Diceros bicornis minor: one gene and its partner. The protein of the gene in region 2 purifies or fractionates together with the protein of the main gene of each other region. This does not show direct contact. Links are inferred from orthologs where the notes say so. Each region holds a gene or a part of one and is shown on either strand. Other genes may lie near its edges. The genes, in order: TLE2 and CCT4.

Evidence for each region.
Region 1: the proteins of CCT4 (region 2) and TLE2 purify together in Homo sapiens (affinity purification with mass spectrometry; 3 studies listed by BioGRID and IntAct, with this or other methods). This does not show direct contact. The link is inferred for Diceros bicornis minor from reciprocal best matches to the Homo sapiens genes CCT4 and TLE2.

The regions. Positions count from the first base shown.
Region 1 is NW_026691553.1:2,363,559-2,378,833, reverse strand, and holds the start of TLE2 (transducin-like enhancer protein 2), read left to right. Parts: upstream 1-9,739; 5' UTR 9,740-9,961; coding exon 9,962-9,985; intron 9,986-10,063; coding exon 10,064-10,161; intron 10,162-10,530; coding exon 10,531-10,594; intron 10,595-11,041; coding exon 11,042-11,086; intron 11,087-13,309; coding exon 13,310-13,372; intron 13,373-14,242; coding exon 14,243-14,317; intron 14,318-14,484; coding exon 14,485-14,668; intron 14,669-15,000; coding exon 15,001-15,020; intron 15,021-15,275.
Region 2 is NC_080751.1:25,441,907-25,457,547, reverse strand, and holds the start of CCT4 (T-complex protein 1 subunit delta), read right to left. Parts: upstream 7,357-15,641; 5' UTR 7,230-7,356; coding exon 7,103-7,229; intron 4,153-7,102; coding exon 4,100-4,152; intron 2,763-4,099; coding exon 2,673-2,762; intron 1,695-2,672; coding exon 1,586-1,694; intron 698-1,585; coding exon 555-697; intron 1-554. UniProt on the Homo sapiens protein: Component of the chaperonin-containing T-complex (TRiC), a molecular chaperone complex that assists the folding of actin, tubulin and other proteins upon ATP hydrolysis.

The DNA of each region.
Region 1 (15,275 bases), on a different chromosome or scaffold from region 2:
AGGGAGACCAGCGAGGGGCGAAGGGGGAGGGGAGAGAGTAGGAGGAGGAGAGAGAGAAGGGGGGATGGAGGGGGATGGGGATGGGGGAGGGAAGGACTGTAGAGGGGAGGGGGCAGGGAGGGGAGGGGGCTCGGGACCTGGGGAGGGGTTCAGGGAGAAGGAGGGGGAGGGGAGCCGCTCCCAGCGCCGCGGGCGGGGACCTGAGGGGAGGGGAGCCGCGGGGAGGGGGGAACCACCCCTTCTGACTACCCCGGCCCCCCTCAGACCCTGTCCCTCCTGGGAGTCCCTCCCCCGCCCTCCCCGCTCCCAGCCCCTCCAGCTTTCTACGGGTCCTGCAGCAGGGGGTCTCTGTGCATCAAGGGTATACTTCTGTCCTGGCTCTCTGTGTGCCTCGACTTCCCCATCCGTACAGTGGTTCCAGTGTCCTCAGTGTTAGGAATCCCGCGGGCCCCTGTGTCTTGAGACTGACCCAGACCCTGTCCCCACACACCCCTCCCGCACCCCGGGGGACTCCTGGAAACCCAGACACCCCAGCCTCCCGGAGCCAGCCTCCCTCCTGCTCGGAGCTTGGCCTCCTGGGCTCAGCAAGAGTGGGAGGACTTAGGGATCCCCACCCCCGGGGGAAAAACACTCCGAATAGGAGCCAGGACTGGGAGGTGACACATTAAACAGTCAGTCACAGGTGGCCAGAAATATTCTGCTGCCTGAAATATTTCCCGGGTCCCCTCCTCTGGGTGCCCGGCTCCCCTGGGACGACACACAAAAGAAGCCGGGCTGCAGGGATGGTGGAATTGGGGACCCTGAAAGGATCTTGCTCTCTCCCCATTGTGCAGACAGGAAAACTGAGGCCCAAGGGTGGGCAGGAAATTGTCACAGTCCCCAAACCAGGCCACAGCCAGGTCTCCTGGCCTCGCTGCTGGATTTGCGATTTGCAGACCATCCGTTATGGCTCTGGCCTGGGCCAGAGGGCCAGGGGCCTTAACTGCTGCTCTAGATTAATTCTGGAAAATGCCCGTGAAAGAAGGGCCATTTTACAGATGAGGAAACTGAGGCTGGAGACTCAAAGAGGCTCGCCCAAGGGCGCACACCGGGGAACCTGAATTCGGATGCAGGAAAGGCCCAGCTATGGGGCCCAGGATATTGGCCATCTTGTTAAAGGGAAAGAGAAGCTTCTGGACCCAGGGCTGGTGGGCAGAGCTGCGGGAGTGGGGAGGACCTCAAAGATGGGGGGTGCCAGGCAGGGTGGGGGTATACAGCAGGAGGCTACTGAGGCGTGGATGGGGGGGTAGGGGTGCTCCTTGGGCCTCGCAGCCCTGCGCCGTGCGCGTGGCCTTCATCCTCGTCATTTTTGGCCTCTTTTCCAGGCCGGAGGGTGACCGGGCACTGTCCCCCGCTCCGGGCCTTTCCCCCTGCCTGGAACACACTGTCCCCAGAGCCGCCACCACCCCGCCTCTCCCGCTCGCGTTATCGCGCGGCCCAGCGTTGATCGCGGCGCACAACTTAAGTCAACAAGCGTTCCCTTTTGCTCTAGGAGTCCGGTGACAAGAGGGCCTTGGTCTGTTGGGGTCCCTCCCGAATCCCCAGGGCTGCGAACTGTGCCTGGCACACAGGAGGGGGTCCGTGAAGATTTAGGGAGACAATGAGATGGGGAGGTGTCTGGGCCAGAACCCCGCCCGCCAGGTGGGAAGGCTGGGGCCTCCGGGAGCCATGGGAGGCGTTGGAGCAGGGGAGGGGCGCACACACCCAGATGCGCGATGAGCAGGCTGGAGGGGGGGGCTCGGGAGGGTGTTTTCTGACATAGTGGCTGCAGGAGGGAGCCGCGGGCACGCCACCCCCTGGCCCCCGCCAAGGACTGCCCTCCGAGGCCCTCTCCCGGGCTATCTGCCCTTCTCTGACTCCCTCCGCCCCCTGCCTCTGGGTGGCCTGCGTCTCCGCGTCCAGCTCCCTCTGCCCTTCAAGGTCTTCCTGGCTGTCTCTCCCCTCGCCTCCCTCCTCTCCCCGTGCGCCCGCTCTGTGCCCCCCTCCCCTCATCCCCGCCTCGCAGCCGACCTCCCCCTGCAAACCTCTCCCACCCCCAGGCCCCCCTGCCCTGTCGCTGGGCGCCTGCCAGGCCTGGAGGCCCGCCCCTCCCCCTCCGCCTCCTCCCGCTGCGTCCCCTCCCCCTCCTCCTCCCCCCCTCCTCCTCCCCCCTCCTCCTCCCCCCCCCATCCCGGCCCCGGGGAGGTGCCCGCGCTCCCGTCCCCGCTGGGCCTGACCGGGCCTGTCGGGGAGCGCGCTGGGCCGGCCCGCGTGCTAATGGTGGGCTCCCCGGGGCGGGGGCAGGGGCGGGCCACCTGGCGCTGGGCCCGGCCTGGGACGCGGGAGGGGTGGCCCCGGGGCCCCTGAACAGCAGCCGCAGGACGCCCACCCTGCGCGCGCCGCGCTGTGTGACCTTGGGCAGGGCTCTAGGCGTCTCTGGGCCTGGCCGCCGTCCCCTCTACCCCCCACTCCCAAGCCGGAATTTATTAGGTGCCTGGGGCCCCGGATAGAGCCCCTCTCGACCCTCGTGGAGCCCACAGCCTGGTGAGGGGGGGGAGACAGACAACACGTAAGCCAGGGAATAGGATAATGTCAGGGAACAGTCAAGTGCCAGGGAGAGAAAGGCAGCACCGGCAGGAGACGGAGGATGACAGGGGGCTGCTTAAGCCGGAGATGGGAGGAGGCCCCTCCCAGGAGGCGACATTTGAGCTGAGACCTGGGTGACAGTCGGAGCCTGCCAGGGGGAGACGGCTGCAGGGAGGGAGGGTTCCAGGCGGAGGGGGCTGCTGGCTCTGCAGGGTCCCCGAGCCTCCAGCCGGGGTCAAGTGAACACACCAGCGGCGGGAATATGGGGGGCAGTAGGGGTCACGGTCAAGGGCTGGGCCCCTTTGCAGATGAGCAGACCGGGCCCAGCGAGGATTAAAGGTTTCAGCCAACCAGAGGGAGGGAGGAAGTGGAAGGTGAGGCCGCGACTTGGAGGTGGCTTGGGCAGGGACAGGTGCAATGGCCAGGAGACCCCAGGAGCATAAAAATAGGGGTCGCCTTTGGGGTGCCAGCTCCTGCCCTGCTCCCCCACCGGGGGTCGTCCCTGCCGGGCCCTGCACGCTCTCGCACAATAATAAGAGCAAAGGCCGGTTCATCTCTCCAGCTGTTTGATCCTATGAGGATCAGATAAAGAATTTCTATCATTTCCCCCATTTTACAGAATCACTGGACACAGTGGCCGAGGGGAGATTTGAACCCCGGGCCTCCAGGGGTGCTGTGATCTCAGGGTGCAGTCGCCCCCTGCAGGCCAGGTCAGCATGGGGCAGGTTGTCGGGGACTCTGCAGCCCTGCTCTGCATGTTGGGGACCTGGGCACTGCCCCTTCATCCTCCTGCTATATGGAACAGGCACTGCATTGGGCCTGGGCAGACCATAAACACACAAGCACATAGTCAGTGTTCCAAGCGTGAGGGGGCTTTTGGAGGAAATGAAACGAGAGAGGCAGGGAGGGAGGTGGGGGCTACTGTAGCCAGGCTGGCCCAGTGAGGCCTTGCTAGGATGGGATGTTTGATCCAAGATTGGAAGGAAGAGGTGAGCCAGCCATGGTCCAGGCAAAGGAAACAGCCTGTGCAAAGGCCCTGGGGCAGGACTGGGCCTGGTGTGTTGGAGCAACAGCCAGGAGGCCGGTGTGGCTGCAGCAGAGTGAGTGTTACACCTCATGAGAGTTACACCTCATGTAAACAGAGGTGAGGAGTCTGGATTTTATTCTGAGGGTGATGGGGAGCTATGGCAGGTTCTTGAGCAGAGGGAAGGATGGGGTCTGATTCACATTTTAAAGGGTGATCAGAGATGTGGGAGGGATGGAGAGTGAGGGCATAGTCCAGCTGTGGGGTGTGAGGTCAGGGTGGCAGAGAGGGCCCTTTGGGGGCATAATGGGAGTACAGACGCCTGCCCTTACTGAGCACTTACTATGAACTGTTTTAAGTAACTTATTTGAAGATTCTAGTATCAACCTCGTTTTCCACACGAGGAGAGGAGAGCCACTGAGCCCAGGGCCATCCTGGACTCCCCCTCTCTTCTCCCCTGAGCTGCCCAGTTCTCGCCCGGCGAGAGGCTGGAGCTCTGAGCCCTCGGCCATCCTAGTGCCCCTGCCACTGGCTGCCACTTCCCTGACTCCTATCCGCCAGAGCCTACTGCCACTTCACAGACCCATGTGAAAGCAGGCAGAGGGCCTTACAGCCCGTGGGTGTCCACTTCCTCCCATTTCACAGCCAGGGAATGTCCAGAGGGCCACCCAGGCAGGGTCAGAGCTCAAGGGTCTTCACTCCCCCCGGGGGGGGGCCTTATGGTTGCCCCATCTTTCCTCTTCCACTTTGGGTTAGGGTAATATAAATGCACTGCTCAAAGGAAGCAACTCCTATGCATTCTGCAGAACCCCAGCTTAAACACTCCCTCCTGCCATCTAGGAAGCCTTTCCAATTTCCCAACAGGGACCTCCCTCCTGGTTCTGCCCCCACCCCCAGGCCGGGTGGCTCCCTCTACCCCGGCCCTGACCACACGGGGCTCCGAGTTTTCTCCTTGAGTCCCTAGCATGGTCTAGGCCTGGTTGCTCACTCGGGGGACCCCAGAGGGCACTGGTGTCATCCACGAGTCTTGTCCAACCATCTCCCTCTACAGGTGTGTAAACTGAGGCCCCAGAGGGGCCCTCAGGAGTCTCAAGGTCACGCGGGGGGGGGGGCGCTGGCACACGGGGGGGGCCCCCCATGTGCCTGGGTGGAAGGGAATACGTGAGTGATTTCTAGCGGCGGGAACGGAGGCCCAGAGGTCACCCGCGAGCCCTGGCAGGCGGGAGGGGACAGGCCTGGCTGGTGGCCCAGCGGCTCTGCGGGGGGGGCGGCAGGCAGAGGCTGGCGATGTCGGAAGCCAAAGGCCCGGCCTCCCCGAGGGAGCCGCGTTCCCGGCCCGGGTCGGATCAATGGGCTGTAATTATACCGCGCCGGGCCCGGAGCCGGCGGGGACGGAGCGGGAGCTGGCAGCAGCGCGGCGGCGGGCGGGGGAGCGCGGCCCGGAGAGGGCCCCACGTTACTTTGATTGACAGCAGCCCGGGCGGGCGCCGCGCGCGGGCTTCTGGGGATTGTAGTCTTTCCGAGAACCCCTGCTCCCTTCCCCTCTCCCGCCTGCGCGCGGGGAAACTGAGGCACGGGGACCAGCAACCCCCTCCCTGCCTACACGGAGGCCCATCCCTCCCCCGTCGGACCTGGGGACAATAACTGAGCCGTGCTGGGAGCCTCCGGGCTCGGGTGGAGGTCTCAGCTCTTCCCTGGCGGGGGGGGGGGGGGGGTCTAGGATGACTCAACGCCTCTCTGCCTCAGTTTACTTATCTGTGAAATAGGGCTAGCAGCTCTGGTTTTTGCAAGATAGCGTGTTGCACAAGGGACTCTTGTTTTTACGGGGAGACCCGCCAGGCTCAGGGGTGGGTTGCTTCTGCCTGTTTCTGGATACAATCGAGCCGGATCCCCGCCTCCACCCGGCCAAGCTCGCGCGTCCACGAGGGTCTCAGCCCCTCTCGGTGGGGGGAGCCGCGCTCTCCATACCCCGCCGGGAGCGCCTCGCCGCCTTCCGATTGGCCCAGCGGATCCCAGAGCCTCCTGCCATTGGTTGCCGGTTCCCCGAGCCCCATTGGCCAGCTCCCATTGTGACGTCACGGACCCATGTGGGAGCGCCGCGGGCGGATTGGCTGGCGCGCGCAGCCAACCACCGCGGAGAAAGGAATTTCCACAGTAGCTGGGGCGGTGAGGCTGATTTAAGGTGGTCTGAGCAACCCGGGGTCCCAGCGCTGCCTCTCGGCTTTTTCCTTTAAAAAAAAAAACAAAACAACCACATCCACATCATAAAAAGCCAGCCAGGAACCACCGGGGCTGAGCCCTTCTGTGCAGTGGGAGGGGAGAGATTGGAAGCTAAGCCCCTTCCCCCATTTGGCAGCGTCTTCCTGGATCTTGCAGATGGGGAAACTGAGCCCCAGGGAGGTGGGGCCTGAAGCCCCCCGATGGCAAAGGAGTTGGCTGGAGAAATGAGAAGGTTGTGCCAGGCGGCCCAGACTGTCACTCTCGCCTGGCCTGGCCAGTCCTTTCCCTGCCTCCTGCTCTGGCCGGATGTGCCATTTTAGCGAGTTATGGAGCCACAGGCCGCCTGGGGGTCCCCCCATCTCTCAGATTGCTCTCAGCGGAGCCTCCCCAAATTCTGCCCCCAAAACTGGGGATGCTGCTGCTCAGAACAAAACATCTCTTCCTTCCTGGCAGGTCACACACACCATCTCTCGCTGTGTGTGTGTGTGTGTGTGTGTGTGGTCTGTGGCCTCTCAGGCAATCCACAAATCTGTATTTACCCTCCCCTGTGGAGTGTGCCTGGCTGGGAGATCGAAAGACTGGTGGGGAAAGGAAAGGCCCCCTCCTCCAGGAAGCCTCCTCTGGACTCCCTCTGCAGAGGCCCCGTTCCCACTGTGGGGACCTCGCGCCCTGGGCGCTCCCTCTGTCCCGGCACTGACTGTGTGGGCCTGGGAGTGTGTGCTCTGCTCTGTCCCCCGCCCCCCACCCCTAGCTCTCCCTGCAAGGCCTGAGGCTGGCTGAGGGCCCAGCATCTTCCAGCAGAAGGAGGTGGCTATAGAATAAATGCTCACTTAACCACCAACATTGGGCTGAGGGAGGCATGGGGCAGGGGGAGATGCCTTTTGGAGGAGACGTTGGGACTTTGGAGGAGATGCGGGGAAGACATGCCTTTTTGCTGGGCCCTGAAGGCGTGGACTTCCTCCAGGCAGAAATGCAGTGGGAGGGAATTCCAGGAAGAGATAACAACGGAAGCAGAGACCCAGAGGTGGGAGAGAACACAGATTAGGTAATCTGGCTGGTGTGGCTGGAGCAGAGCGTTTGAACCGGTGCAGGGAGGCAAAACTGGGCGGGGCCGGCTGGTGCAGGGCCTCTGATGCTAGCCTGAAGATCTGGGAATTTGTCCCAAGGGCAATCGGGAGCCATGGGAGAGTTTTAAGTGAGGGAGGGCCAGGCTCAAAGGGAAGGTGATAAAAGTGAAGGCTGCTCAGAGTGGGGAGGTGGCTTGAAGTCCAGATGGGAGGTGATTAAGGGCTGGTGCGGGCGGGGGCTGTGGGGATGGGGAGGAGGGTTGCATGGCAGCTGAGGGGGAGCGAGGAGGCCCGGCTGGTGCTCTGTCTCTGGGGACCAGGGTGGACTGTGGGGCCTGACAGGTCTGGGGGAAGATGCCACGTCTAGTGGCCTGGGGGGCATCTGGGGGAGATGCTAGAGGTGGCTGCATCCACAGGGCTGGAGCCAGAGTTTGCAGTCACCCTCATGAAGGTGGTGAGTGAGGCCTGGAAAAGGATGTGGTGGCTTGGAGCCCAAGCAGCCAGAAGTGCGGGCTGCCCGAGGCGAGCAGGCTAAAGGGAAAGAGGAAAAGACAGGAATCAGGGCCACCGGCTAGGAGAGCATGCAGAAGGCGGGGTGGGGAGGCTGCTCTGGGTGGGGCTGCGGGATGAGGGTCCAGGCGGGGCCCTTGACTTTGAGGAGGTGGAGGGCTTTTGGCAAGAGAAGGCCCAAGAGGAGATCGGGGTGGGAAGGAGTAGAGGTGAGGAAGGGGGCGCCACGATTTGGACTAGCGGCCCAGGGAGGGGAGATGCTGTCTTCGCAGGGGACGCAAGACACCTCCTGGAAAAGTTCTGGAATTAGGACTTCACGGACGCCCCCAGAACCCGGAATCACGAGCCCTCGGCATTGTGGAATTGTGGTCCTCCCTGTTTCTTAGAATTTCCCAGCAGGAGTGTGGCCAGGGATCTCTGGCTTTGGCTGGATCGGCTGTTTCTGCTCCTCACTGACTGCCTGTGCATTTATCGAGCACCTACTGTGTGCCAAGCTCTGCACGGACCAAGACAGGCTCTGTCCACACAGCCTAGTACTAGGGGGGACAATGCATAGAATAACCCACAAAGAAACATAAACATATCAAAACAAATCACAAACCAAAATAAAACCTCTGATAGGAGCTAAAAAGAGAGAGAAAAGCAGTTGAGAATAACAGTATTTATTTAGAATAATAGCGTGGGGTGGGTGGATGCTGCTTAATGGGTGGCTGGGAGGGGACTTTCTGAGAAGGTGACATTTGAGCTGAGACCTGAATGGTGGGAAACAAGGGAACAGCATTCCAGGTGGAGGGAACAGTCAGTGCAAAGGCCCTGAGGCAGGCCCCTGTCTGTTCTGTTGGAGGAACAGCGAGGAGGCCAATGTGGCTGGAACAGAGGGAGTGAGGGTGAAAGGGAACAGAGTTGGGATCAGAGATGGGAGGGCCAGGAGGGGGTTTGTGCAGGGCCTTGTGGGAAGAGGGAGGAGTTTGGATTTTATTTTGATGGCAATAGGGAGCTATTGAATGCTCCTTCCGACACACTCACACACACACACACACACACACACACACACACACTATCCCCAGGATCTCTCTTCCCCTCCCTTCCGGGCTGCGCATCTTTATCTTTCAGGTCTCATCTCCTACATTAACCTCCTGAGAGAGGCCTCTCCCGGATGCCCCAGATAAGGAGGTTCCCTCCTGCTGATCTCCACCACTGCTCCCTAAATCTTCCTTTAGACACACAGATAATTCCATCACTGCCAAGCTGTGATCTTGCCTTGTCCCTCGAACCCAGAGAAGGCAGGAGTCTGTCCTCCTTCATCCACCCTTGCATTCCTGGTGCCTGGAAGGCAGTCCATGCTCGAGAAGTAGCCCTTGGCTGGAAACGATGCTCTAAGCTTGAGAAGGGCTTGTGTGCACTTTTGTTCACTCACCCACTGACCCGGGTGCAAACATTAGCATGGGGCAAGGGCTTTTCCCTGTCTTGTTGTTCCCCGCTGAGCCCCAGTGCCTAGAGCAGTGGCTGGGCCATGGTAGGCACTCAAGGGGTGTTTGTTGATTGACTTAATGATCGACTCTGAGGTTTCTTGTATGCAAGATGGGAACAAGGACGTGGTACCTCCGGGGTGAGTGTGAGGGATGCTCGCTGGATGTCTGTAGTGGGAGGAGCCTCTGTCTGATGGCAGAGATTCCCTTCCCGTCCTCGCTGGGACCCCATAGTCTGAGAGGGGAGGCAGCCCCGTCTGCAGGTGGCGGCCACCGGAACACCAGCTCCCATCTCTGGGGCTGACCCAGTGCCAGGCCAAGCCGAGGGCTGTTCCAGTCTCATGCCTTTTAGAAAGAGCGCCTGCCTCTGCCACTTGACAGACGAGAATCCTGGGGGGGCCCGGGCCTGGCTCTGCCTCCCAGCTGGGTCCTCCCGGGGCCTTTGCACACGCTCTTCCTACCCCTGGCAGGCGCCTGGCCAGCCCGCTTCCTCCTCCCCCCGCAGTCTTAGCGCACTTGCCCAGCAAGGCCCCCAAAGCGCCCCCTCCCCACCGGGCTGCCTAGGTATTTGTTTATCTGTTTCTTGTTTTTCTTGGGGAGGGCGGGGGCGGGGCGGGCGGGGCTGGACGCCAGCCTCAGTTTCCCCGCCGGTTCCCCGGCCGAGGGGAGGGCGCGGGGGGCGCGCGGGCCGGTGGGCGGGCCGGGCGGCGGCGCCACCTTAAGGCGGCTCTGCCCGCGGCTCCCGGCCGAGCCCCGCCGGAGGGAGGCGGCTCCGCGCGGGGCCCGCCGCCCGCGCCTCCCCAGCCGGCCGGTCCCGACCCTCCGCGCCCGTCGCGCGCCCCCCGCGCGCCCCCCGCGCGCCCCGCCCGGGAGGGGCCCCGGCCACCCTCCGTCCCCGCCGCCCGCGCGCGCTCTCGGGGGCGCCGGGCACTCCGGGGTCCCCTGCCCCGCGCCCCCTCCTCCTCCTCCTCCTCCTCCTCCGGGCAGCCCCCCGCCTCCAGCCTCGCCGCCCACCCCCACATTGTCCATCCAGCTCGGCGGCGCGGGGGGCTTCCCGGATCGCCAGGATGTACCCCCAGGGAAGGCACCCGGTGAGTGGGGGTCCAGGCTGCGGGGCGGGGGCGGGGGTCCGGGGCGTCCCAGAGCTCAGACCCCGGCGACCCCCCCAGACCCCGCTTCAGTCCGGCCAGCCCTTCAAGTTCTCGATCCTGGAGATCTGCGACCGCATCAAGGAGGAATTCCAGTTTCTTCAGGCTCAGTACCACAGGTGAGGGGGGGCCCGCCCCAGGGGACCCCGGAGTCCGCCTGGGAGCCCCCCGGGAGAGGGCGGGGCCCGCAGGGGAGGGGGGCGGGGCCTCCAGGGTGCAGGAGGAGGGGGCCCCCCGGGGACGAGGGGAGGGAGGGCTTCCAGGTGGAGGCGCAGGTGAGCTTGGAGGGGGTCACTTGGCACTGGGACACTTAGAGCCTGCGAAGGGGTGGGAGGGACTGCGACCAGGAGGTGGGGGTGCGTGTGTGAAAAAGTGGGGAGGGGGAGAGCCAAACCGATCAGTTTGGAAACGGGCCCAGAAGGGGCGTCCGTGGGACTCCAGCTGGGGGGCAGGGGCAATGGGGTCCCAGCATCCTGTCTCCTTCCCAGCCTCAAGCTGGAATGTGAGAAGTTAGCCAGTGAGAAGACGGAAATGCAGCGACATTATGTCATGGTGAGGGGGGGTGATGGTGCCGGGTGGGGGGAGTGGGGAGGGCTGGGCTGTGAGTGAAACACTGGGGTGTGACGCCGGCCTCACTGTGCCTCTGCAGGGTAAGTCCCTGCCCCTCTCTGGGCCTCGCTTTTCCTGTCTGTGAAGTGGGCTGGTTGGGATTCCAGGCTGTCTCCCAGGGCCCTCCGGGCTCTTTAGAACAGGGAGGCAAGGATGTCCCCGCTCCACGGGCATCTCGGCGGGGCCAGGGCCACTGGACACCAGTGACCTGCCCCACCTCCCTGGAGAGAGTGGAGGGGGGCCCTGCATCCTCCTCTGGGCTTTCTCTCCGGGGTCCCACGGGGCTGGGAAGCTGCGGGTCCAGCCGGGGGGCTGTTGGAAGAGCCAGCGTCCCCCAGCGCAGGACTGGACGCGTCGGCCCGTGGACACCCGGCTGGCTTTCTCTTGCAGTACTACGAGATGTCCTACGGACTCAACGTTGAGATGCACAAACAGGTAGGTGGGTGGGGGGTGAGGGTGTTCAGGAGGGAGCGTGGGGGTCTGGAGGCTGTGACACGGCCCCAGCGCTCGGGCGGTCTGCGGCAAAGCAAATCCAGGGCACAGGGGTCTTATCCTGAAATCTCTGGGACCAGGGGGCCAGATTCCAGCCTCGTGAAAGGAAAAAGCGTCTGAGCTTCTGGAGACTCTGTCCAGCCGCGAGGCGAGCGGTGGGCAGGGGCCCACCAAGGAGGGCTCGTAGCAGAGGCCGGCAGCCGGGTCCGGGAGGCTGTGGGGATGCCCTCTGTCCCGGGAGGGGGCCGGCTGGACAGTCTGGGGGGCCCCTTTCAGCCCGGAGAGTCTGACCTTTGGATCCTGAGGGTCTGAGATGGACCCCGAGGTCCTGGGACTGTTTTGAAGGTTCTGAGATTGACCCTAAGGCTCTGAGGCTCTGAGACCCTCCTAAGCTTGTGCGTGTGGTGTCAAGGTTCTGAGATAGACCCAGAGGTTCTGAGATAGACCCGAAGCTTCTGAACTTGAGTCTGGTTGTCCCAGATTAATCCTGAGGTCCTGAGACTGACCTCTGAGGGCTTTTAATGGGATGAGAGGGGCCCCGAGATTCAGAATATCAGAATCAATGAGTAGAGCCTAGTGTCCGGGCTTCCTGGTGGGTGGGAAGAGGAGAGGAGTGGGCTGGGAGTGGGGGTACCTGGGGGTGCCCGCCCCGGGCATGCTTTCCGGGTATGTATGGGCTCCACTGGTTCTGGTGTGGGCCGGAGGGGGCTGTTGGCCTGGAGCGTGGCGTGGTCCCCTGGGTGCGTGAAATAGACCTCCTTATGGGGTGGAGGGCGTGGGGTGGGGCCTGGTTCCTCCCTCCTGGTGGGAACACAGACGCCACCCAGATGCACCCAGCACCCCTGTAATTCAGGCTGACTGTGCACAGCTGGATATGCCTCCCCACCCGCGCAGCCTCCCCTCTGCTCAGCTCTGTGGGACACCCCCCACCTGGACCCTGTCCCGGATGAAACCTACAAGTAAAACCACCCATTTCCCCTTTACTCTCTATCCTTCTGATGCCAAACGTGTGGCTTTTCCCCACACCAACCAATTCTCCAACTCCGACCCCAGCGGGGTGTCCCACAGTTCAGCTCGATTCTGACACACGACCCGGAGTTGGCGCAGACCCCACAGGTCCGGGGCTCGGCCGCACAGGACGGCCCCGCTTCGGACGCCGGTCCCAAGTCCGGGCCTCGTGTCCTTCTGACCAACTGGCTATAAATCCTGGTTCCCACGACCCGCTCTTCGGGTTTGATAATTTGCTAGAACAGCTTACAGAACTCAGGAAAGTTCTTGTTTACTATCACCCATTTATTGTAAGGGCTATAACTTAGGAACTGCCGGATGGAGGAGATGCTCAGAGCAGGGTGTGAGGAAGGGGCTCGGAGCTTCCGTGCCCTCCCTGGGCACCACCCTCCCGGCACCTCCCGTGTTCACCCACCCGGAAGCTCTCCAAACCTAGTATTGTAGGATTTTTGAAATGGAGGCTTCACTGCGTTGGCACGATTGATTAAATCATTGGCCATTGGTGGTTACCTCAATCCCCAGCCCCTCTCCCCTCCTGGAGGTGGAAGGCTGGGGCTGAGAGCTCCAGCCCTCTGATGAACTCAGGTGTGGGGGAAAGGGGGGCTTATTACAAATAGCAAAAGACGCTCCCCTTAGCCCATCACTCAGGAACCCCAGGGGTTTCAGGAGCTCTGTGCCAGGAACTGGGGACAGAGACCAAGTACATGTTTCTCATATCACAACATCACAAGCCTTCCGCAGTGTGGCGCCCGGGCATGTCACCTGGCTGCAGGTAGAGACCGCAGACCAGACCCAGAGAGGGACATGGGCCCAGCCAGGGCTCGAGCCCCCAGGACCCCGGCGGAGGCCCCTCGCCTGGTTTACGATGAACTTGAAGCTTCCCCGTGTCCCGGTCCGGCTGGGCCTCCGCTCTCTGGGACTCTGTCGGGCGTGTCTGGCGGGTGACGTGCCTGCGCTGGGCATCCGCCGGGCACGCAGCCTCCTCGCCAGGCCCTCCGTCGCTCCCTGAGCCCGTGCCTCGCTGGCTCAGTGCCCACTTTGCGCCTGCGGGTGACAGCCCCCCACCCTGAGTTTTGCAGAGGCTCGTTACGCCCTGGAGTCGGGGGGGGCTGTGTTGAGAGGCCCCCCTCCAAGCTCCCTCCGATTGCCTCCCGCCAGGCCGAGATCGTGAAGCGCCTCAGTGGGATCTGTGCTCAGATCATCCCCTTCCTGACCCAGGAGGTGAGTGGGCCTGGTGGGGGCGGCAGGGGAGCTGGCGGAAGATGGGGTTGTGGTGCGGTGGGAAGCTGCAGGCACCGGTCTGGGGGGGAGGACCAGCTGGGGCAGGGGCCGCAGGGATGGAGGGTTCCCTGAGGGTGAGGAGTCAGGGCTCCAAGCCAGCAGTCAGGCTGCCTGGGTCCAAACCCTGGCTGTGTGGCCTTGGGCAAGCTGCCTGCCCTCTCTGTGCCTCTGTCGTCGTGTTTGGACGAGCTAATACATACAAAGTGCCGAGGATGATGCCGGGTGCTTAGTAAACACCCGATAAAAGTTAGACCTTATATGACGCTGAGTGACATGAGGCAGACGCAGAAGGACAGACACTGTGTGATCCCCTCACAGGAGGCCCCTAGAGGAGTCACAGCCACAGAGACAGAAAGTGGATGGTGGGGCCAGGGGCTGGGGGAGGGGAGGGGAGTCAGTGCTTCATGGGGACAGAGTCTCAGTTTGGGGAGATGGAAAGTTCTGGAGACAGAAGGTGGGGAAAGTTGCACAACAGTGTGAGTGTGCTTCATGCCGCTGAGCTGTGCACTTAATGGTTAAAAGAGTAACTCTTATGTTTGTAACCACAAGAATAAAGAAAGATGGAACTATAGTAGATAAAAGCAATAAACAGTGTGAGCACTTTATTGAAACTTAGAAAAACAACGTAGCCCTCATGAGAATGCCCCAAGAGTCTTCCAGCCTCAGGACCTTTGCATCTGCTGAGAGTGGGCACAAGGTGGTCCAGGGTGAGGAGGGCAAAAACCGCAAGAAACGAGGGTCAGAAGACCCTTGGGGGGGGGTGAATGCAGACACACACGTGCCCCGGTGACTCCCCTCCTGTCCCCCCAGCATCAGCAGCAGGTGCTCCAGGCCGTGGAACGTGCCAAGCAGGTGACCGTGGGGGAGCTGAACAGCCTCATCGGGGTGAGTCAACCTGACCCTGCTGTGGGGGGACCCCACCCCCAGGTCCCTGCACCCCATCGGTGCTAAAGCCGGGGTAGTAGGTGGGCAGCTGGCCTGGGCTCTCGAGACCCCGGGGCGCCCCCTCTGCCCGTCCCCGCCGCCCCCGGCCCACCGCTCCTCGTCTCCAGCAGCAGCAGCTCCAGCCGCTGTCCCACCACGCCCCCCCTGTGCCCCTCACCCCTCGCCCGGCCGGGCTGGTGGGCGGCAGTGCCACGGGGCTGCTGGCCCTGTCCGGAGCACTGGCCGCCCAGGCTCAGCTGGCCGCGGCCGCCAAGGAGGACCGGGCAGGCATGGAGGCCGAGGGGTCCAGAGGTGAGTGGGCAGCGCAGGGTGGCACTGGCAGGGGTACGCGGTGGGGCACCAGACTCAGATCTAAGTGTGAGGGGATGAGTGAGGGGGGCTGCGGGGCCGTGGGGGTCAACTTTGCTCCACTGGCTGTGTGTCGTTGGGCGAGCTGCTGCCCCTCTCTGGGCATCTATCTGGATGGTGCGGAGAAGGGATAATCCACTCTTTGCAAGAAGGGAGATTCTGAGCTGGGAAGAGGGCTTTACAAACTGTGGAGGGCGGTACCCTCTGGCACCGTGAGACAAGCAACCCTCATTCTTTTCCTTCTGTCTCTCTTTTCCTCACTTCCACCCCTCCAGTGGAGAGAGCCCCGAGCCGGGTAAGTTGAGGGGCATCCGGGACTTGTGTGACATTTGCTTTGTATCCGCATGTGGCTGAAGCTGCTTGTTCTGAGCTGACGGGGGCCTCGGGCGGAGACCCACATCCCGCTTTCAAACTGTGCCGCCCAGAGCCTTTTGGTGCGGGAGATGCACATAAGGCTCGCATTTTATTTATTTACATCTTTCAATCTTGGAGCTCTTTTTGCAACTGAATAAATGCATGCATGCCCGTGGTAGCATTCCATCCGTCCTTC
Region 2 (15,641 bases):
CACAGGACATGACAGAAAACAGAAGGTGACATGAGTTCCCAAGAAACTTAAGTTCCCAAGACATCAGTTTCACAAACAACTTATTATCAATACTATAAGATTTAACATAATTTTTGACTTCTATTTGTTGTCCATCTTGGGTTTAGTTGAAAAATGATATATATTGGTGGCACACAAAATTCTACTTACATACTTCCTCTATAACAAAAGCAGCATAGACAATTAATTAAGAGATGGACTATGGATGGGCAGCCCTGACTTGGGTTCAGATCTCAGCTCTACCTCTTATGAGTGGGTCTTGGATGAGTTATTTAACTTCACTAGACCTAATTTCCTATCTGTAAAATGGGGATGCTACAACTTACCTGAAAGCCTTGAAGGAGTAAATTTTACTTGAACTAATTCAGTTATACCAATTACTTTAGTTACCCCTAGTCGCTCTTGAGACTTAACATTTATGAACTGTATAACATCAAAAATCACAGCATGAGAGTAGCAGTTCTTAATGAACCTTAAACTGTAATTTTACAATGATCCCTTAGTGCTTTTCTCACCTTTGAGTTCAATGAAGTGGTCGCACTATTTAACAAAGTTTCTCTGTCACTCAGTTCCACAGGTCGAGACATGTCAGTCAATATTTCAATACCCTTTTCCAAAGCCTTCTGGAATGACTCAGAAATGATGGTTGGATGAATCCCTGCCATTTGTGAAAGTTTAGTTATTTATTGTAACAAATAAACTACATATTTGACTTGACTTCAAAGTTTTCATTAAAATTTCAAAGCAAATTTTTAATTATTCTTAACTAGAAATTAACTTAGGCTTCAGTTATAATGGTTTCAATAACCTTAACTGCTAATTATGGCTAATAATTTATTTCCATTTAATTTGGAACAGATCAATTACATATTCATGTGATATTTAAGACTGAAACCGGGGCTGGCCTGGTGGCACAGCGATTAAGTTTGTGCTCTGCTTTGGCGCCCTGGGGTTCACAGGTTCGGATCCTGGGCGCAGACCTACGCACCACTCATCAAGCCATGATGATGCGCTGTCCCACATAGAGCAACTAGAAAGATGTATAACTATGTCATACAACTATCTACTGAGGCTTTGGAGAGAAAAAAGGAGGAAGACTGGCAACAGATGTTAGCTCTGGGCCAATCTTCCTCAAAAAAAAAAAAAAAAAAGACTGAAACCAATTTTATACTTTTCAAAACACCACAAATGTACATAAGTAGAATAAGTGACTTGAGAGTCGCTAATATGATTAAGCACTATCTACCAAAGCAAGAACCCATTCTCTCTCTCTCAAATCACTGATCTCATCCACAGCCTAAGATTAGTAACACCATCACCACTCAGTTTTGAAAAGCAAAATTTTATCAAGTTCCATTTTTGCCAGAAGCCTGGCAAAAAAACAGAAGCAAAAAGAAAAAATTTTCTAATTCATGATAATCACAGCAAAATTTAATCTAAAAATTCCTAATAAAAAGATTAGCTATTCCAAATTAAATCTTAAATCTCTTATTACTGAACTTTTTGCCTTTATTCAGTAATAAAGCATGTCCTATGTCCTACCTACCTTTCTGAAGAAGCTTGGTACAGGAATCTAAGAGAGAGCCAGCAATGATGACCACTGATGTGGTGCCATCTCCTGCTTCTATATCTTGAGCCTTAGATAACTCCACCAGCTAAGTGAACAGAACATGTCAAGTTGCTCAGTGAGAAATTTGAGAACCTAATATCCTCTAATTTAAATATAACATCAATGGCCATCACATCAGTTTCACAATTTATTATCAACACTATATTGATTACTATCAACACTATAAGATTTAATATAATTTTTCACTTCTATTTGTTGTCTATCTTGGGTATTGTTGAAAAAATCACAACATGTATTTGTGGCACACAAAACTCTACTTATATACTTTCTCTATAAGAAGTTATGATTTCCAGTTCAGACTGTGGGTTGTAAATTTTTTCTTCCCAGCTACTTACAAGTTCCTGTCAGAAAGCATAAATGATATTGTACCATAGGTACCCTGTAGATTTGGAAGCTATGAAATGGGGCACTCAGAGGAGAGTAGAGTGCCAGTTTGGAGTCTTTTGCCAAGTTTATCTGAACTGACCCAGTATAAGCACAATGTGATTCATGTTCAGTCATCTCTATATAATTAAGAGGAACTTTTTAATGGATAGAAATTTCTAAGGAACTTGCTTTTGCTGATATGGTAACTTTTCACTTGACACTGGAATCATCATTATGATCCTTAGTTAAATGGGTAATTGTTTTTTATAAACATCAGTGCAAGTTTAGACACGATTCATTTTGCATACAATTAAAATTATTTTGCTCTCTTCTAGCTAACACTCATTGAACAATTTGTACCATTTCATATTTTTATCTCCTCCTTCCTCAATTGTATGGCACATTCCCCTGTGGACAAGGACAAGATGATTCATGTTTTATTATGACCTTGAACTGAAGAGTTAGACATATAATGTACCCTAAAAATACACCCGTCTTGCATAAGGAGAAAAAATTTTCACCATGCTCAAATGGTATCATGTGACCACATAAAACAAATTTAACTGTATACCAAATATCAAACAATACACTTAAAAAAAAAAAAACAAAAAAAAACTCACCTAAAAATTATACTTACCATTCTGGCTGCTGGATGTAACACTTGCATTTGTTTCAGAATGGTAGCACCATCATTTGTAATGGTCACATCACCTTTTCCATCTTGAATCTGGTAAGTTTGGTTTTTTCAGTAAGTTACATTTCAAAAATTTTGTTTTCTTTACCCAGCATTAATGTGACACCCTAATTAGCTCTACTAACTTGACTATTTCTTAGTAGAGAAATTAATTCATGTTTGCATAGTGCTTAATTTCAAATTATCTTCCTTTACATTAGTATAGTCACGTGCTGCATAATGACGTTTCGGTCAATGACAGACCACATATAAGATGGTGGTCCCATAAGATTATAATGGAGCTGAAAAATTACCTAGTGACATTGTAGCAGTCATAATGTCTTAGTGCAACACATTACTCAAGTGTTTGTGGTGATGCTGGTGTAAACAAACCTACTGTGCTGCCAGTCATATAAAAGTATAGCACACACAATTAACTATAGTATATAATACTTGATAATGATAATAAATGACTCTGTTACTGGTTTATGTATTAACTGTAAGGCTGTATCATCTAGATTTCTGTAAGTACACTCTTGATGTTTACACGATGATGAAATCGCCTAATGACGCATTTCTCAGAACGTAGCCCCATTGTTAAGCAACACATTGCTGTATAATGATTTAAAAGTATTCAGTAATAGTCCAACTTTACACATGAAACAGTTGGCTTTGTTCCAGGATACTTAAATGTGAACGAATCTAGACACTAAAAAAGATACCATAAAGAATCACTATCATTCCTGGGTTCTTATTAATAATAAGAAGCAATACCATGGATCCTCAAAAAGACAGTACCACGAATGTGGTGAAAACAGTTCTTATAGTCAACACACTAATGTGCTTCTTAGTACTCTCAACAAAGGGCAACAGCATAACTAGGAGGAACAGACTTTAAAATATCCAGAGGGAATAATGATCTGTATATCATCCAGACAATCCTCCATATTGTTTCCTTATCTCTCATTTTGGATGTTAACTAGGACTAAATTTGAGGGTATATTACTCAAAAGTTATTGGAATGTATCTGTTTTATGCTGCCAGTCAACCAAGCTAGAAGCAGAGTTGAAATCCCATAGACTTGTGTCAGGTCACAGAGTTACATCAATAAGGAACACTGAACTGAAGCCCTGACACCTAGCCTTACTATACTTTCCATCTAACTACACAACAGATAACTACTTTTGTGTATGTACTTTCATTGCTTAAAAAGCACTAAAAACCAAAATATGAATTATAGTTAAATCCTGTTCACCCCAAAGTAATCTATCCCTCTTCTGAACTATAAAAGTACCTTCTAATACTTTTTACTTTTTTGAACAGCACATTTTGACTCTCTATAGAGATCATGCAGTATGGATGGTAGCACCCATTAAGTAATGAAGGATTACCATTTTATCCATTCCTTTTGGTCCAAGGCTTGTTCTAATTGCATCGGCAACAGCTGTAAACCAAAAAAAAAAAGAAGAAATCAAGACTCTAAAGAACAACCCATTTCTCTCCTCAAATAATCATTTTCTCTCTATTAGGATATGGTGTACAACAGTTCACTGTGTCCACCAAAAAAATTCATTGTCTAATAATAATTGACTGGAAACAAAATAATTATGTTACTCCTTTAATTGTATGACACTTCACCTTTTGTTGTTAAACTCACTATACGTAATACTTGTGTTCCGCCTATGGCAGAATAAATTTTAAGGATTTACCTAATCTTCCTTTAAACATCAAAATGGTACAATCTAGTTATGTGCTAATTGAGGACTATTTTTTTCTCCATTCCTTAAAACAAAACAAGCAGACCTCCTAACATACTATATAATTCACTTATTTGTTTACTCTCTGTCTCCTCTAACTACAGAGCATAATTTCTGAGGGTAAAGACTTTTGTTTGCTATTGTGAAGCTAGAATATGGATAGCCCAAGTAAAAAAATACCCTTTGACCCCAGAACAAAAACCCAAGCCCCACCAAAAAAAAAAAACACCCCAAACAAACAAAAGACCCAAACCTTAACTAAAAAACAAAAACTAAAATCATAGCTTTTGGTCATCATTAGTACGTTATGAAACATCTCTGGATATACAGTCTACCATTCCAAAGTTACTTATTCTTATTACTTGTCCATGAGAATATTTCTATTTTATTAATCCATTTGTTTTCTTAGAGAAATTGGAATTGACGAACAGTACTTGATCCCCTTGTCTTTGACAAATCCAGGACAAATGATTAAATCTTCCCCTTTCGCACATACCATCTCACCCCATCTACAGAGGCCTGAGATTGTGCCCCAGTTTTGTATACTCCACAACTACCACAATGCTTCCCTCCATATTGTGTGAACAATAATACACAATCTTAAAGAGCTTAAGAGAAAATACCTGGTATAATTTAAAAATTATTTTCTACTTAATTATTTCATAATTTGGGGCTTCTGTTCCTAATTATCAAGTCAATTTTACCCTTTCAAGCGATTTTAGTTGACCTCCATGACGATTATCCTATAAACAGACCGATTCATTTTAGAATGCCCTTCTATTCATCTATGTGAAGACTCTAGAATAACACACTATTCAAAAAATAAGATTTCAGACAGCTTACATCTCTGAAGGTGTCTGAAGTTTAGCATACTGTGTGGATGACTCATGCTGAAGAGTACTAGAACTACTACTACTTTCATGTGTGTGGTCTTTCAAAGCATCAACCAATGGGATTATCTTTTTGGTAACATAAAAAAAAAAAACCTGGCTCCCCAAATTAAACTAAACATGCACCTGGCAGCAGCTTTTCTCAATTTGTAGGGTTTTGTCCGACTTGGAAAGACTAGTCGTGCCCCTTTGCTCTATGAGTTCCCCTCACTTAAGATATAGAGCCAAGTTCCTAGACAATTTAGGTGACATTTCGTTCCTACATGCATACCTCTCTTGCCCAGTCTCAATTCTCTGTGCACTGCTGTTTCAAAGGTTACTACAGTAAACCTCCTATTCTGTATCTTCCTTCTTCGTTGACAATCTACTGTATTATCTAGCTCTTCTGACCCTCCACGCGCCCCAGAATTTATCTGACATCTAATGTAATCAATCTAAGCTTCAATTACACTCCCTAGACAACTATCTACCAAATTTTATTTCCAGGTATACATTCTCTCCTGAACTTTCAAATGACTCCTAAATCTACCCATCTGGTCACTCAGACCTCTCCAACTCATTCGGCCCAAACCACAACCTCTTCTCTCTTCTTCCAGCATCCTTCCTCCAGTGTACCTACTTCTTTTAGCATCACCATCACGCGCGCAGTGACTTGGGCCGATGGCCTCAAATACCTGTAAGGCTGTACTTTATATCCGTGGCTCTTTATGTGCTTTCTTCTTTAATCCTCACAGCAAGCGTACAGGTTAGCTCTTACCTCATTACGACGAAGAACAGCTGTAGTGCAGGAGCTACGCCAAACCCTTTCCAGGACACCAGGCCCTTCAAGATTTGGCCCCATTCCACCTTTCCAATCTCACCTCTCATTTCTTCGTGCACTTTATTCTCTCACCGAAAGAAATACTCACTGTACTCAAGACACACCACGGGCAAGATCTCTAAGCCTTTGTTCTCACTTTTCCTTCCAGACTCTTCTATCTCAACCAGACTTCTCTTAATCCTCACAACTCTAAGAGAAGCGAACATTTTCCTCCTCAATTTTACACATAACGAAAGCTTGGCTAGAGATTAAAGGTCACAAAAGCCACGAAATAATGTAAATAGAATGCAACTCAGGTCGTCTTAATTTCCACCAAGAGCCGAACACTGTTCTTCAAAAAAGGTAAACTGTCCCTATGTCTCGATTTGCTGGTGTTCGGTTGCACACGCAGAGAGGACACAAAAGCACAGTGTAGCTTTTTATAATTATTCTCAAACGAGTTGGGTAAGTCGGTTCCCCACACCCCGGTACAACGGGCCCCGCCACAATTGAAGCGCGGAGAGTTTACCAGATTCGCTTCAATAGCTGCGCCGAGAAAAGCTTACTTAAATGATATTTTTGTAAGAAGAAAACTGGAAAGTACTGTGCAAACAACATTCTACTAGTGGACCTAGTCAGCAGATAAGCGACAGCTCTTAAGTGTCAGATCCCAAGGGACCGCCGCACGCGGGCCTCGGCCGCTTTCTGCTGAAGTGTGATAAATGGTGCACAACCCAGGATGGAAAATGATGGCCGTCTAAGACCCAGACTGGGGCAAGTCCAAAGGCCTCCATACTTGGGGTCTGGAATTCTCCGCAAAAAACAGAAAGAAGGGTCCCTTCACAGAGCTGCTTCTACGGGAGGACAAGAAGGGATCACCTAGAACAGAAAATGAGCCGTGCGGAGCGCGACCCCGCAGGGCCGCGGGGAAAGCCCGGGAGGCGATACCTTTGGCCGCGGAGATGTTGCTGAAGCGGATCTGGGCCGGCTTATCGCGGTCCTGATAGGCGCTTTTCCCGCGGCCGCCGGCAGTCCCGGCGGGCGCCCCGCTTCGGGGTGCCACGTTCTCGGGCATGGCAAGCTTTGCGGGGTCTGCGCGGACCCAGGAAGGACGGATGGACTCGGATTCCGGCTCGGCGCAGACTAACAGTGGGCGTCCCCCACCTTCACGAATCTTCCAGAAAACGGAGCCGGCGCCGGGAGGAGGAGGTTGAGAAAGGGGCCTGCCTGGCGGCGCGGCGCCGGCATGACGTCACAGGCTGCCCCCTGCGCGCCGGGTGAAGCGACTGCGTCGGGGAGCTCGGGACTCGCAGGGGATGTTGCGCAGGGCGCAGGGGGTCGGGGGCGCGGTGGGGCTGACTCACACGAGGCAGAAAGGACAACCCGCGATTGTAAAGGCAGGAGTTGGGACACCCACATCTCCCCACCCCACTCCCTGGCCATGAGGTCCCTTCCGTTAAGTCAAGCTAGACCTGTCCGCGAGGTGGTGTCCGTACCCAGATTGCTCCCGAATGGTTGGGGCTGAGCCGGTTTTTGTGGGGCTGCATAGAGCTGTTTTTAATTCACTTTTATTCATTGTGAAAGGGGGGTCGAAAGAGAGATTTGGGAGGGCTGGCTGCTTTCCTTTGCTTTAAGGGTTGGCGTTGGTTGTCTCGTATTGATTAATACTGGGTAGTAGAGATTTAAATATACACTGGTTGAATACCACAGTCTTAAAAGTTTTGCAGCTATGATTGCCTGCCAAATCGGGACTGTCTGGTTAGTACAGCTTCCTCGTTTTACACTAGTTTGTTCTACCTAACGTAGCCATTGACTCTTAGGAAACCTAAGTATTTTAATAAACGATCATTTAGTTCAGTTATGCGCTAGGCGCAGTGCTAAACCCTTTACACGTTTTATCTCAATTCTCACAACAAGCCTATGAAACAGTTGCCTTTATATTTTTTTAGTAGATAAAGGAGCCGCAGCAGAAAGAGAACTGAAGCCCAATGTACCAGTAAGTAGATGGAAGCAGTATTCCAGTACAGAGCAATGACTTCAGAGGTCATGAGCTAAACTGCTGGGCTCTTATTACCACTGTATTTTAATATGGAAGTTTATGCAGGTGAGGTTCATTCAGTATTCATTCACAAATAATTATTAAGCACCCATAAAGTAACAGATGCCTGGATAGGTACAGGAACAGTTGTTCCAAGTACTTAATCCTGTGATCCTGAGGAGCGTTTATAGCATTCAGTGTATTAGCGCTAGAAGATGAGGCTTCCTAGGTGCTCTGCCATCCGTAAGCCTCTGGGACTGACTTCAAAGGACCAGATTACTTCTATCTTGGCCTATGAACATTCTATAGTTATTTAAGACAACCGATGTGGTATGATGGTGTTTTGAGAGGTTTGGTGGATTTGATTGGAGGCGTAAAGGAACTTTTCAACACAGACGAGTGGACTGAGTGTATACTTTAGTATATAGGGAAGAGTAAAGGTAAAGGCAGCAAACAGATTATATAGGGAAGGGTAAGGACAAAGGCAGCAAACAGATCCGAATAGGTCAAATAATAAGAGGGAAAAACATCAGGTCGATCGAAAAGGGAAACATCAGATCGACCGAGATAGAAACAGATCCGAATAGGTCAAATAACAAGATCCGATTGATCGAAAAGGGAAACATCAGACCGACCGAGGGGAAATAACATCAGATTAATTGAAAAGAGAAGCATCAGATCGGGTACTTAACAACATCTACGCCGCGTGGGGGAGAGTCCCTTGAATTGACACGGCTTGGCGGGAGTTCTGATCAACAGTGGTCCTGGGCAAGGCGTCCCCCCCACAGGCGAGATTCTCGCCCAAGCAGAATTGTGAGTTGCTTTTATGCATGTTTTCATTTAGAGACCATCTCTATGGGAACATTTGGTTTTTTGTTTTTTGTTTTTTTTCTTTTTTTTGCTGTTATGAGGTGTGTATGTGCACTGCAACTCCTGGTACTTATCCCTGACCGACACAGATGGCCAGTCTGTGTCTGTCCTTGACATCCCAGGAGTTTTATAACCTAAATAGTTGTAGCTAGTATTGTGGGAGAAAGGCCGGTTTCCATCACAAGCAGCTGCTCTGTATTTTTTAGTGTGGCTGGTTTCCTAGGGTCACCAAGCGGACAAACATGGCAACACTTATGTTGTCATCTTGGCCGTGGCCACTTGGTTATCCGTAAGAAACCAGCCGCATGGACAGTGAACTTTATACACAGCTACACATAAAACATCCTGTGATTACAAGGTCGATGCATAAGACAAATAGAAAGCAATCAGAACAAATAGATCCCATATGCCAGGGTAACCACTTAAACAATTTTTTGGAATAAGAAATGTTATCAATTTGATTTTGTAAGTCATTGATTATAGAATTTAAAGTAGAGGTTTTATTAGTAACATTAAAGCAACATATTTTTGGTATTTGAATACATGAAAATTTATGTAATAGGAAAAGGTAATCTAGCGCTGCTGGCTGCTTGTTGAATCAATGTTTCCCTTTATAACTCTTGTAATTTTTTTAGAAATAGTAAATAAAGCTCTAACAGTGTCATTCATAATATGAGTGAGTAAACAGGACAGATGTTTAATTTGTTTGTGATTATTTACAATTAATTTTGGATCGAGTAACAACAGGGTAGCTAATATTGTCACTGTGGATATTGGTAATAAGTTGACATGTGGATCATAATCTGGAGTTAAAGTTTTCTTATATCGAACTCTTTCTTTGGGATATGTAGCAAGCAGGGGTATTATTACTCCTACTCCACAAGTCATTGAAGTATTTTTTGGAACATATCAATAGACTTGATCACCGCATAGCCAAAATAGTTTTGTAGGAAAAGTTACAGATGTGGCGCAAGGGGTTACAGTATGATTACAATAGGTAGGGATATAAGTGCAATTAAGGGAATAACAAGTGGTACTGGTAGTACTAGAAATAGGAATTGAGGATAGGGAGAATGAAGTACTGGCGTTAACAGATGAAGTAAAAGTATGGCTATGGGGTAGACCTAATCCTAGCAAGTTAGCTTGGAGTAAACTGGGAGGATCATTATTATTGCGCAAGCAGAAAGAGGTAACATTAAGAACATTGTTAGCCAAATGAAGCCAAATATTAGAGTTACCTAGAGTGTTGGTGGCATTTGGTAAAATGCTGAGAAAAGCAGTATTGTTTATATATGGAGAGTTAGGTTTCCCTTTTTTTTTACTCAATGTATGAATAAAATCTTCCACTTCATAAAGTGGAAGCAGGTAAAAGGATGGAATAATTTGTATTTTGTCTGTGTGACTGGTCAGAAATGTTATGATATGACGAGGTGAAAATCAGCCTTTGTGACCAAATAGTCTGTTTATTTAATGTCCAAGTTACAGGTCCAACTGGCGTGAAGCAGTCTGTCTAGCACTGCAACAGCAGTGGTTGTCCAACCATGACGTTCAATGGCATAGCAGTCCGAAGAAAACAGGAGGTGCTCATTGTGGCAGCAATCAGCAAGCTGATTAACAGTACCTATTCACATAAAGAAACAGCATTTTTAGGAACATGATATAGATTATTGTTTTTGGGGTATATAACAATTAGGGTGGCTGTGGTTCTTTGTGCTATGATTTTGGCCGCTTGGGAAGCAGTATGCGGAGGGTGTGTAACTCAAACTGGCTCTAGGTTTTCAACCATATGTTGAGTTGAAGCCTTGTAATTTTTGGGGGGGGATAAAATTGAGGGAGGGCTCCCCCTTTTTATTTGTGGTGTTATTAGGGGAAGGATAAGTAGTTGTCCAATTTTGTCTTCTTTTTGTAACCTAGTTAAAGGTGTGTCATTAGGTCCTATAGGCCTATTGTTTAAAATATGCAAAGCAGCGTTTAAATGTGCATACCAGTTTTGTAAAGAATTTTTACTTAATTTGTGTAGCTGTTGTTTTAACAATTTATTTATTTTTTTAATTAGACCAGCAGTTTGGGGTTAGTAAGGAATATGATATATCCATTTAATATAATTTTTTTTTGGCATAGGTTTGTATTCACTTACCTGTAAAGTGGGAACCGTTGTCACTCTGAATTTGTCTTGGTGTTTTATAGTACAACTTAATTGTATTTAATAATTTTATGGCACTCTGCTGGGTGTCTGCTTTAGTCGGCATAGCTAATAAATAGCCGGAATATGTGTCAACAGCAGTGTAGACGTAAATATAGCCACAAGAATTTGGCAATGGTCCAATAAAATCTATTTGTCATGTATGGGTGGGAAATAATCCCTTTTGGATATGACCTTGGTAGGGGTGTGGAACTCCCCATTTAACTATTGGCATATTGACATTGTTGTACTGCAGTGGCAATATTATCATGGGTGATAAGGATTCTCCTTTGTTGTGCCCACCTGTATGAAGCTTGTTCTCCCAAGTGTCCACTCTTTTCATGGATCCATTGTGTTAAGTCTGGGTTGTGTGTTGCACGAATTTGCACCAGCTGATCAGCATAAGAGTTATATTTTTGTTCTGTAGAAATTAAAGAACTGTGAGCATCAACATGAAATACAGTAATAATTGTGTTTTGGCACCATAATTATATGTTTTTTTATAATTTTTTTAGTGAGACATAATGTTTATTTTTATAATGAATTTATAATACAATTAGACCACAGAGATGTAATCATTTTATATAAAGCCCATTTAAAAATATCAACTTTTATAAAATTTTATCTTAATTTTATTACTTTTATATCTCTATTACTTTTATTAAGATTTTATTAACAAATTTTAGTATTACAATACTGTGTAGGGAAAGCATTCCCAGCCAGATATAATATTTATTTTCAAAAAACACATTTAGACAAAGTTGACATAAGCTCTTTATATAATATTAGCTTAAATACTTTAATTTTTATAGTCTTATTAACCTGAGTAGCCTAACTGTTGCCCCAAAAACTTTTATCCTTTTTACATCTATTTTGTTTATTTATTTCCAATAATTATATTTAGATTGTCTACAAAAACCTTATGAGATGTCAGACAGAAATAGTTATTATTTTGTTATTACCTTTGTTGACTAATTTTGTAACAGAGATAACATGAGCTCTTTTGATCAGTAAACCCAGGCTGTATGTCTGTGTTATATCTAATGTTGATAACTCTGAAAACATATTTATTTTAATTAAACCAACAAACTTAAACAAGTTTTTATTTATTAAAGATTATATTATGTTAACTTGAAAGACATTTAGGCTAGTTTTTATTATATTTAGAAATAACTTGTAAAAGTGTTTACTCTAAGCCAATTAAATAGAGCTCCTTTAGAAACTGTACCATCTGGAGGCCGACAAATACACATAGAGACAGATAAACACAAACAGAGATCTTCAAAATTTTAGCCAGGTCTCAGGTACAAAACTCAGAAGAACAGTTAGATCCAAACAGTTTTTCTAGCAGGTGGATCTGCTCAGATGGCCAAAAATATTTACTAAAGATTTTTTTCTTTTGTTGTAAAGCCTTTTTACAGGTGTTTTTGAAATAACTTTGTCTTTTAGAAGTTTCTGTATATTAATTAAAGACTGCATCTCATCGTGAGAGGTTTTGAATCCTCTCTTTTAAGGGTGACCCTTAAGGTGAACTCGTCTGAAACAGAGGTTCCCCAGAATGACCATTATAATTTCAAATTATCTCAAAAGTTTATTTATTTTCACTTGCTTAATTTTAGATCAGGAATTTTGGGGGAGTTGAAGTGGGAAGCTCAGCAAGGGAGGAGAGAGAAGCAGATTTAGCTTCAGCTGTTGGCATGTTTAATATTTAATTATTTTTTTTTAAAGAGGCAGTACAGTATTCCTGATTTTATTTAGAAGCCTCAAAAGATTAAAATAGGCTTCCCATTGGTTGTTTAACTTTTTACCTGGCTTTTTTTAATTGCATAAGCAAATACACCAGTTTTGGTAAACTGAAATTGCCCCATTTTGGCCACTTTCTCTCTGGAGTCTGTGGAATATTGTGGCCATGTGGTGTTACAAGAAAAAATTATCTTTTTCTTGGACGTGGGCTCATAGCTGAAGTCAGCCCATTTAGCCAAGAGGTGGCCCAGAGAGCTTTTCCTGGGGACAAATGGAGGCCCCCCCCTTCAAAATTACAAACGTACAGAACAGAGAATCAGATGGGATCCCAAACAGGACAGGTGCCCCCAACAGATTTTGGGTAAAAGTCCTATAATTATTTCCATTCCAGTAGGGATAGCCCTGCATCTCAAAGAGATAGGACCCCAGATGGAGTGGAAGGGAGTTCTTGGTGTAAGCAAAAACAAACAAACAATTTTAGAGCCTGTTTCCCTGTCATAAGAAAATGTGCCCAGGGTCAGCTGTGCTGGGTCAGAAGGAAAACACTGAGAACAGTCCCTAGGGCAAATCACCTAGGCAGCTGCTGGACTGTTTCCCAGGACATCCCAGCCGGCCCAGGGCCGCCGAGCCATGGGCAAGAGCCTCCCAGCTGGCCTGCCAAATTGTTATTGGACACATATCCAGGCTCTCCATTTGTCACATAAGAGGGGCCAAATAAAACTAAAACGCCAGGCTTATGGCAAAGAAAGAGTTTTTATTTTGGGTGACGTCAGCCGGGACCTGGAATCTCCACCTTGGTTTCAGTTACCCTTTGTCTGAATAGGAAAGCCATCTCCTTAATGGAATCCCGCTCACAGTGCAAATTATGTTTTGAGAGGTTCGGTGGATTGGATCGGAGATGTAAAGAAACTTTCCAACCCAGGCGAATGGACTGAATGTATACTTTATTGTATAGAGAAGGGTAAAGGCAAAGGCAGCAAACAGATTATATAGGGAAGGGTAAGGGCAAAGGCAGCAAACATATCCGAATAGGTCAAATAACAAGAGGGAAAAACATCAGGTTGATCAAAAAGGGAAAGTTCAGATCGACCGAGATAGAAACAGATCCAAATAGATCAAATAAGAGGGAAATAACAACAGATCAATTGAAAAGAGAAACATCAGATTGACCGAAAAGAGAAAACATCAGATCGGGTACTTACAACATCCACAGAGAATCCCTTGAATTGACATGGCTAGGCAGGAGTTCTGATCAACAGTGGTCCTGGGCAAGGCGTCCCCTCCCCAGGCGAGACTCTCACCCAAGCAGAATTGTGAGTTGCTTTTATGCGTGTTTTTATTTAGAGACCATCTCTATGGGAACATTTGGTATTTTTCCTTCTTGCTATTATCACGTGTGTACGTGTACTGTAACTCCCGGTACTTATCTCGGACCGACACAGATGGCCAGTCTGTGTCTGTCCTTGACATCCCAGGAGTTTTATAACCTAAATAGTTGTAGCTAGTATTGTGGGAGAAAGGCCGGTTCCCATCACAAGCAGCTGCTCTGCATTTTTTAGTGTGGTTGGTTTCCTAGGGTCACCAAGCGGACAAACATGGCAACACTTACATTAAGTCAGATGGAAACAAGTGTGTAATGATGGAAGTGGCATTAATTTGGGGGACCAAAATCCTGGGTTTGAGTTTCACCTCTGCTACTTATTAGCTATGTGACCTTGGGCAAGTCACTTAAGTTCTCTGGGTCTCATTTTGCTCATCTATAAAATAGGAGGATTGAACTAGATGATCTCTAAAGGCTTATTAAACTCTACCAGTTTTATTAGTGTAAGATGTAGACCTGTCAGCCGTAGGGGACAGCAGAATTTGGAAGATGCCATTATTGGCTTTTGGGGACAGTCTCCATGGGTAGGATAGTTGTTTTAATTACCTGAAAATTTTCAAGTTATAAATATTTTTCTTTTGCTGTGACAACTGAAATTGGAATTATTTTTCTTTCTGAGATTAAGCAATAAGTAAATGCTAAAAATTTGATTACTTAAAGGTGTTCATGTATATTAATTCTCCACTAGAATGTGATTTCAGTAAGTATTAAAACATACAAACTTTTGTAGGGTACTTTATGTACACAAAGCTCTGTTACTAGTGAAGGATAGAAATACTGAAAAAATCCTATGAGATCCAAGCAGACTTAAGGCATATGTGGGAATGCTGGCAATAACAACAGCCTTGTGGAATTTCTTCAATGATTTGTAAAATAGGTTTTATAAAACAGTAATACGTGGCCAACCAGCCAAGTGAGGGTTCTGTCTAGGATGGATGCTGAACCACATGCTAAGCCCCCAGTAATAGGACTGAGCTGGTTTGGATTGGAAAAGGAGGCAGGGGTGGGTATATCTTCTCTCAGGTTTTCACTCAACTTCAAAGACAATTTTTTTTGTGTGTGTGAGGAAGATCAGCCCTGAGTTAACATCCATGTCAATCCTCCTCTTTTTTTGCTGAGGAAGACCAGCCCTGAGCTAACATCTATTGCCAATCCCCCTCCTTTTTCTCCCCAAAGCCCCAGTAGATAGGTGTATGTCATAGTTGCACATCCTTCTAGTTGCCGTATGTGGGACACCGCCTCAGCTTGGCCGGACCACCTCAGCTTGGCCGGA